2 linked regions of the Oryzias latipes genome follow. The protein of the gene in region 2 interacts with the protein of the main gene of each other region in a pairwise test. Links are inferred from orthologs where the notes say so. Each region holds a gene or a part of one and is shown on either strand. Other genes may lie near its edges. The genes, in order: sox14 and naif1.

Region 1 (3,024 bases), on a different chromosome or scaffold from region 2:
CGAGGAAGGAGGGAGGCAGAAAGAGAGAGCGTGAGAAAGAGACAAAGATGAGTCTGAAATATAAAAAAATAAAAACTGACCTCTGTTTGGTCACCGTCAGCTCTGAAATCAAAAAGATAAATCTATTATTAATATTTTTATTATTATTATTGTTATTATTATTATTATCTAATAACAAACAGGTTGGGTCTCATTGTGGCCACCTAAGTAAATCAAAAATCTTCTTATTTTTGTCTCGTGAGCAGAGAGAAGAGAAACAAAGAAGATTTTTTATGTCTGTGCACGCGCGCAGGTGAGTTTACACCTTGAAATATAGGCCAACACATAAAATAAGCACCGAGCTATTTTGGGTGTTGAGAGTTCCATCTTAAAACAGCTTTAGCGAGTGCGCGTGCGCGTGAGAGAGTGTGCGGGGAGGTGCTTTCGTTGAATAATCACAGCTGAAAGAGTCATATATCACCTACATCAGGCGCATTAGCTCAGGGGCTATTAGGCAGTGGTCCTCATTCAAATGAGCGTTTTCAAACGGTGGCCGCCGGACTGTCAGAGTGAACCAACCCCACAGCCACAGACTCACTGTGACTCACTGTGACTGCTCCAAAACTGTGCATGCAACACTTTCTTTTAGGTTTATTGAATTGCATATGTCTGCGTTTGTTTGCGGGTGTTTTTGCTTGTTTGTTTTATAATTATTTTATCCATGCCATATTTTTGTTTGCAAGCTGGAAACTGAAGATAGACAGATAAAGGGTTGGAAAAATAAATAGGCCTATAATTTTTAGATTTTATTTTTACATTTTAAATATCTAAATGCTTTTGAGGGGATAGGGGGTGAGGGCGTGACCCCCCTTCTTGTCCAAGATTTGTTTCTATCTTTTAAACATAGCAATTCCTATGTCTGTCTAATTGATTTCGGTTTGAAATAATACATGACTGTTATTATTTTAGTTTCTAGTTTCGTTGCAGGAGAGCAGCGGTTAAAGCTCCCTCTGGCCTTTCGTGCGTCCAGGAGGACAATCCTCCTGAACGCTGCTCAGCATCGGTCTCTTGGTGTTCCTGCTCTGAATGGAAGTCGGGCTTTAACTTGGGAAGAGGTTGAAGGTTCGTGTTTGTTGCGATTTATTACATGAGATGTAATCGGGGGTGGGGGTCGTCCATACGCGCGCGCGCAAATGTCCTTTTTTCTAGTCCCCCCCCCCCCCCCCCCGCGTGCCTTTGTTTACGCCGTAACGCACGCAGCCCGTGCGTTTTTGGGTGAAGGTGTTAAAGAGGCGCTCTCCGTGCTGATTGGGCGCTCAGGTTGGGAGTGAACGCCCTGCAGATTATGTCAGATTGCGTGCAGAAACCAAACCAGCCCAGCCTTTGAACTTCACCGCTTTTGGCTCGTATTCACGCTCTTCCGCTCATTTCCAAACCAGGTGCTTGACGACAAACCTCCACCAGAGCGGCAGAGAGGGGGCGTCCGCGGCAGAAAATCAAATAATAACACCGGAGACTTTTATGACTACAGCAAACTGCGCGCGGAACGTGACTTTCACCTTTGTGGATGGGTTCCGTGTGCGCGTCTTGCATGCGCGTCTTTTCCTGACCCAGAATTGCAAAGCGGACTCCATTTGTGTTTTACCTCGGGAAGAACGGAACCGGGCTGGATTGTTTTTGTTTTCTTCTCCTTTTCCTGCTTCTTTCCCCAGAGCCGTGGCATGAGCAGACGCTGGCACGTGTTCAGGTGAATAGTTTACCTTTCCTCTGATAAGAGAACTTTTGGTTGTCATCAAGAGCGGGATAAAAAGTGCTAAAAGTTCGAAAATGTCAAAGCCTGCTGATCATATCAAGAGACCCATGAACGCCTTCATGGTGTGGTCCCGGGGCCAGCGGAGGAAAATGGCCCAAGAGAACCCCAAAATGCACAACTCGGAGATCAGCAAACGACTGGGCGCCGAGTGGAAGCTGCTCTCCGAGTCCGAGAAGAGACCCTACATCGACGAGGCCAAGAGACTGCGTGCGCAACACATGAAGGAGCACCCCGACTACAAGTACCGACCGAGGCGCAAACCCAAAAACCTGCTGAAGAAGGACCGCTACGTTTTCCCGTTGCCTTACCTCGGGGACACCGACCACCTGAAGGGACTTCCGGTGTCCGCTGCGGATTCTCTCTTGGGCTCGTCGGAGAAAGCCCGGGCGTTTCTCCCGCCGACCTCCGCCCCCTACTCCTTCCTCGACCCGAGCCAGTTCAGCTCCAGCGCCATCCAGAAGATGACAGAGATGCCGCACACGTTGAGCACCAGCACTTTGCCGTACGCATCCTCGTTGGGATACCAGAACGGCGCGTTCGGCACCCTCGGGTGCCCCAGTCAGCACACCCACACCCACCCGTCGCCCACAAACCCGGGCTACGTCGTCCCGTGTAACTGCACGGCCTGGTCAACGTCAAGTTTACAGCCCCCGGTGGCCTACATACTTTTTCCAGGTATGACCAAGACTGGAATTGACCCGTATTCCTCCGCGCACGCCGCTGCCATGTAACCCCACTGACTCTTTTTGCTCTTTTTATGTCACTTGAATACTGAAATGCATGTACAGATGGTATGGACAGCGCACCCCCATTCAAAGGCACGAACAGTATTACCTGCCCGGGCTGGTTGTGATCAGAAAAAAAAAAGAAAAGAAAAACACAAAAAAAACTTTTTTCACAACCAGTTCTTGGCTGAGCAAAGAAGCTGCAGCGAACTGTAAGAAATGTAAATGTTATAACGTTTATGGCAACCAGAAAAGGAGGCCTTTAACTTTATTTATGATGTACATTTTAATGCTGATATGCTGATTTGTGTTGATTATTGATAGGCTGCTCTTTTACTTTGAAAATCGGCTTGCACAATTAGCATTCACGTTTCCTGTACAGGCCTAAAACAGCCCACAGTTTGGCAAATTTTCGATGATGATCTGGACCTTTGGTCAACATCAGAACACTCGGGCTGCTTCACTTACGGGTTTTTTCTCTTTATATTTATTGGCTGGGAAAAAAAT
Region 2 (4,544 bases):
CAGGATGTGGTTTCCTTGCTCGCAGTGGTCCGTTTCTGCTGGTTTCATGTTCTGTTGTCGTCTTCTGTTTTTAGATACGTCACACGCTACCATCTGATGATGACTCTGACGAAGACGGAGGACGTCTGTCGAAACATGTGAAACACAACCGTGTCTGATAACAGAAGAACCAGGAAGTCAAGAGAGATGGATGTGTCGGGGGGGGGGCAAAAGAAAGGGAGAAAAAGAGGGGACTTAATGAAATAGAAGGATGATTATAGAGGGGGGGGTAGAATCATTAAGCAACAAGTTGCTGGAAGATTATCAACATTACTGTCAGGTGTAGATGTTAGTCTAAAGGGGGCGGGGCCTGTCCACTCACACACTCCTGCTGGATCCAATGATGTTCAGACACAAACATGTCAACATGTACACAATACAACTAAAGCTCACACACACACATATGCACACAGACCAACACATGGCAAACATTTCATTCAGTCAAAGGTGAGACAGCACCTGTGCTCAGGTGAGGGTGTCTGTTCTGCTGGGGTCCATGATGGAATGGAAAATAACCAAGACCCCCGCTGAGGCACCAGCGATAGCCTGGACCCCCGACACCCACACAGTGTAGCAAACAGAGGAAACCTGCCCGTCGGCGTGCATGTCCTCCACCTAGACCAGGGCAGGACCGCCACAGGGGCCCCCACACCAGGGAGCAGGGAGGCCACAGGACCGCAGAGAGTGCAAGCTCCAGCCCAACCAGAAGAATAGCCCCCCACAGAGCCCCACCCCGGGAAAACACCTCTAACCCCCGATGATAACCCCCCAACCCCAGGCACGAACCAGGGCCCCCATAGGGAGACCTGCCCCACGCTCCAGCCCACCCCGCGGGAGGTCCAGGAGAGAGGAAAGCAGATTTTCATCAAATCCCCTTTGATCGTCCCAAAACCCTCAAACACACCATGAAGGACTGTCCTAAGATGGACCGTGAGGATCACGTCTGGACACAATAACAGGAAATGTCAATCACAAGAAAGAAACAGGAGTAAATACTCACCATTCAGAGCCTTTGGGTCATCACACACCGGACCAGCCGGAAGAGCTGGAAATGAAAACACATCATCTGTCACTTTTTCATCGTCACACTTTGACCTGCATTTTATTTTGAAGTCACCGGGAATCTTATTACTGTTAAACGTCTGTCTTTGAGTTTCTTTAAATCCTCATATTTATGGTTGTGTGCTTTTGTGTGATGTTCAAAAAGATTTGTTTTAAATCTCATTCTGTCCAGCAGCAAAGATGGGAGCTGAGGGCCTCTAGTGGTGGACCGGTGTTACTGCAACGATAATAGAGCCTCATTATATTTGTATGTATTTTTTTTGGGACCAAATATTAAAGGTGGAGATCATGAGTACAAGGAAGGAAAAGGAGGTAAAGATGTTGGAGGATGATTAAAGAAAAACATGTGTGTGTGTGTGTGTGTGTGGGGGGGGGGGGTATAAACAAAACATGGCTCGAGGTTTATCAGTCTAACTTTCACCACAAGTTCTCATTGAAACGACTCAAAAACGTCCCTCATGACCCGGCGATGTGAAACGTGAGCCGAGTTGTGTCACTGACACCCAGCATCAGACACAACAATGTGTTTAGCAATCATAGATGATTAACAGTTTATATGTATTCCGTTGTCAGAGGTTCCCACATGAATACTCCCATATGGAACATTCATCATCTATGACGTTGGGTCACTGCCACATTTCTGCATACAGTTGGACTCGTTGGGTCACGTGGTTTGGAAGAAACCGAAAGGAAAGCCAGAATTCAGACCTCTGCAGTTTTAATATAATAATTCATATAAAATATTCTGCATCTATAATTGCAAAATAACTTGGTGTGTCTGGCGCCATAATTGTGCATATATATGGAATCATGAGGTCACATGGTTTGGGAGCTATTGAAAAAACATCAGGATATCAACTTCAAACCATTTTTCTCATGAAAACATTGCAAAATACATACGATTGTTTTAACACAACATGAGGAATTGTTTCATTGTCATTTGTTTCTTTTTGCAAAGCATTTAGTCTAAAGTTTGATGTAAAATCTATGCACTTGTTAATTTGTTGACGCCGCTCAAACATCCAACCTGACGCTAACTTCACCGCACTCTGACGACGTTGGTCCTCTTATTATAAGTCATTTATGTGAAGATCCTGATTTCTGACCATGTTCCCTAACAGCTTTGCGTTTACACCCGTCTGTAAATAAAAACAGACCATAAACTTTAGACAGAAGCGGAAATCTGCCCCACAGTCCTTAAATGAATGTTTCTGACTTTAGGTCCTGATCCACATGTCATCGCTCCATCATGCATGACTGCTGCTGGATCGGAGCGGGAACTTCTGTCAGAGCGGATCATCACACCAGCACACGATCTTTGGCCGCCGTTCGTTCGGCCGCTTACCCTCCGCCAGCGCGACCGCGGCGCCGGCGCTCACCGTCACCGGGAGCGTCAGCTCAGCATCCGAGTCTCCGGCCGGGAGGCTGATGATGGTGGCCTCCCCCAGCAGGTTGCAGATCCTCTGCTGCATGGCGCTGAGGATGACGGGAACCGTGGCGCAGTCGGCGGACGTGCCCTCGATGGCGGCGCGCGCCTGCGCGACCTTCCGCCGCACCTCCGTCTTCATGTCGGACCACTTCTTTTTGACCTCGGGCAACTCTCGGGGGCAGGTGGTGACGGCGTTGACTTTGCGGAGGATGTCGACCCAGGCGTTATTCTTAGCCATGTGGGTGACTCCGGCATTGAAGTGGTTAACCAGTGTGTGCTTCTGCTTCTCTATTTCCTCCACAATGATCTCCACCTCTCTCTCCGAGAAATTCATTTTCCTTTTTTTGGCAGCCGACGCCATAAGTGCAGAAAAGCCTCTAAAGACAAGGGATTGTGCGTATCGTACGCAAAAAAGTGCGATTTACTCAACTGCTGTGCGCAACGTAATGGCTTCCAGAATCGGCTTCTTCTGAAGAACAAACAGCTACGGGAGCCCCGCCCCCCCAACGCGGCTTCGCCATAGGCTGGGTGGAGGGATGACGTCAAACGTTCTGTGGGCCTCATTGTGTAGAACAGATGACAATCAAGGCACGAGCCAAACAGCGCGCGCTCCCGAAGCCTCAATAAAGATTGATGGAAAAAACGGAAGTGTCAAGGTGGCGCGCGCGTTTGTGGAGCACCGTCCAGAATGACGTGTTCCTTCATCCTATGAATGAATCACATACATGAACCTTATTTATTCTTGACCCGCCTGAAGGTTCTGGAGACCAGAACATGTTCGTTCTGCCGCGACTCGGAGCTCTGCGCTCTGGAACAGAGACGCGCGTGAGCTGAGAGTCACGAGAGTCTTGGGGTTTTGATGCGCGGTTTTACTGTTTTGATGCGCAATACTTTAGGCTCTATTTTGACACCATAAGTCTTCCTCTGGAAGCTCATCCAGAGAATGCCAAGAGTGAGCAAAGCAGTGTAACCAACTTCCTGGATCTTTTATTTTGGGAGAGGTGTGTCCCTCCCGGGACCCTAGAGACCAGGGGGCGTGGCAAGTTCAGAGGGAATCATTAGTTTTGGGAGTTGAAGAAGAAGAATAAAGAAGTGGTGAGCAGATCCACTAAATGGCGGACTGGTTGTCCCGTCTCGTTTATGACTACAGAGTGACTGATTATTGAACCTCCCCATCGCTCGGTTACAGCAGGAATCAAAGCAAAAGGTGGCTACTTTGAAGAACCTACAATATGACATATTTTCAGTTGTTTCACATTTTTCTGTCATGTATTTAATTCCACATGTGTTAATTCACAGTTTTGATGCCTTCGGTGTGAATCTACAAATATAGTCATGAAAATAAAGAAAACTCTTTGAATGAGAAGGTGTGTCTAACGGGTCTTTCATTTTTCTTTCTTTGCTGATGCTGCCTTGAGGATGTATTAGAACATGCTCATCAGTTTTCATTGTGTGACAAAGTCTTATAGTTTTTATCTTATGCATTTATTTAATAAGTTACCAAACTAAGAAACTAAAGCTGTGACGGATCAAACCAAAAGAACCGTTTAGTCGCTGCGTTTTAACAGGCTGACTGTTGGAACTGAAACACGCCGCTCAAACGACCGGGTTCTGTGAACAAACTGGGCGGTTCTGAACGGTCCGTTTGGTCCAGGATTCTCCTGGTTTTATGCAGGCAGAGAAAAAAAACAAGTGTTTTCTAGAGTTTTATTAGGATAAAAGGTCAAACAGTTCAAGATGTCATTCAGTTCACCCAACGTGATCAGGTACACCAGTCCAGCTGCCCATTCATTCCTAACCAGCCAATCACATGGCAGCAACTCAACACATGTAGTCATGTATTCATGGTCCAGACGATCTGCTGCAGGTCAAACCAGCATCAGAATGAGAAAGAAAGGTGATTGAAGTGACTTTGAACGTGGTTGTTGGTTCCAGACGGGCTGGGATTTTCACCCACAACCATCTCTGGGGATTACAATTCACACAGACTCACCAACACTGGACCCTAGAAGAT

What was found.
Region 1: the proteins of naif1 (region 2) and sox14 interact in binary tests that used the Homo sapiens proteins (3 or more experiments, as listed by UniProt). The two-hybrid records come from large-scale screens. The link is inferred for Oryzias latipes from reciprocal best matches to the Homo sapiens genes NAIF1 and SOX14.

The regions. Positions count from the first base shown.
Region 1 is NC_019862.2:4,463,394-4,466,417, forward strand, and holds sox14 (transcription factor SOX-14), read left to right. Parts: upstream 1-1,806; coding exon 1,807-2,523; downstream 2,524-3,024. UniProt on the Homo sapiens protein: Acts as a negative regulator of transcription.
Region 2 is NC_019870.2:30,325,240-30,329,783, reverse strand, and holds the start of naif1 (nuclear apoptosis-inducing factor 1), read right to left. Parts: upstream 2,915-4,544; 5' UTR 2,892-2,914; coding exon 2,447-2,891; intron 1,085-2,446; coding exon 1,040-1,084; intron 1-1,039. UniProt on the Homo sapiens protein: Induces apoptosis.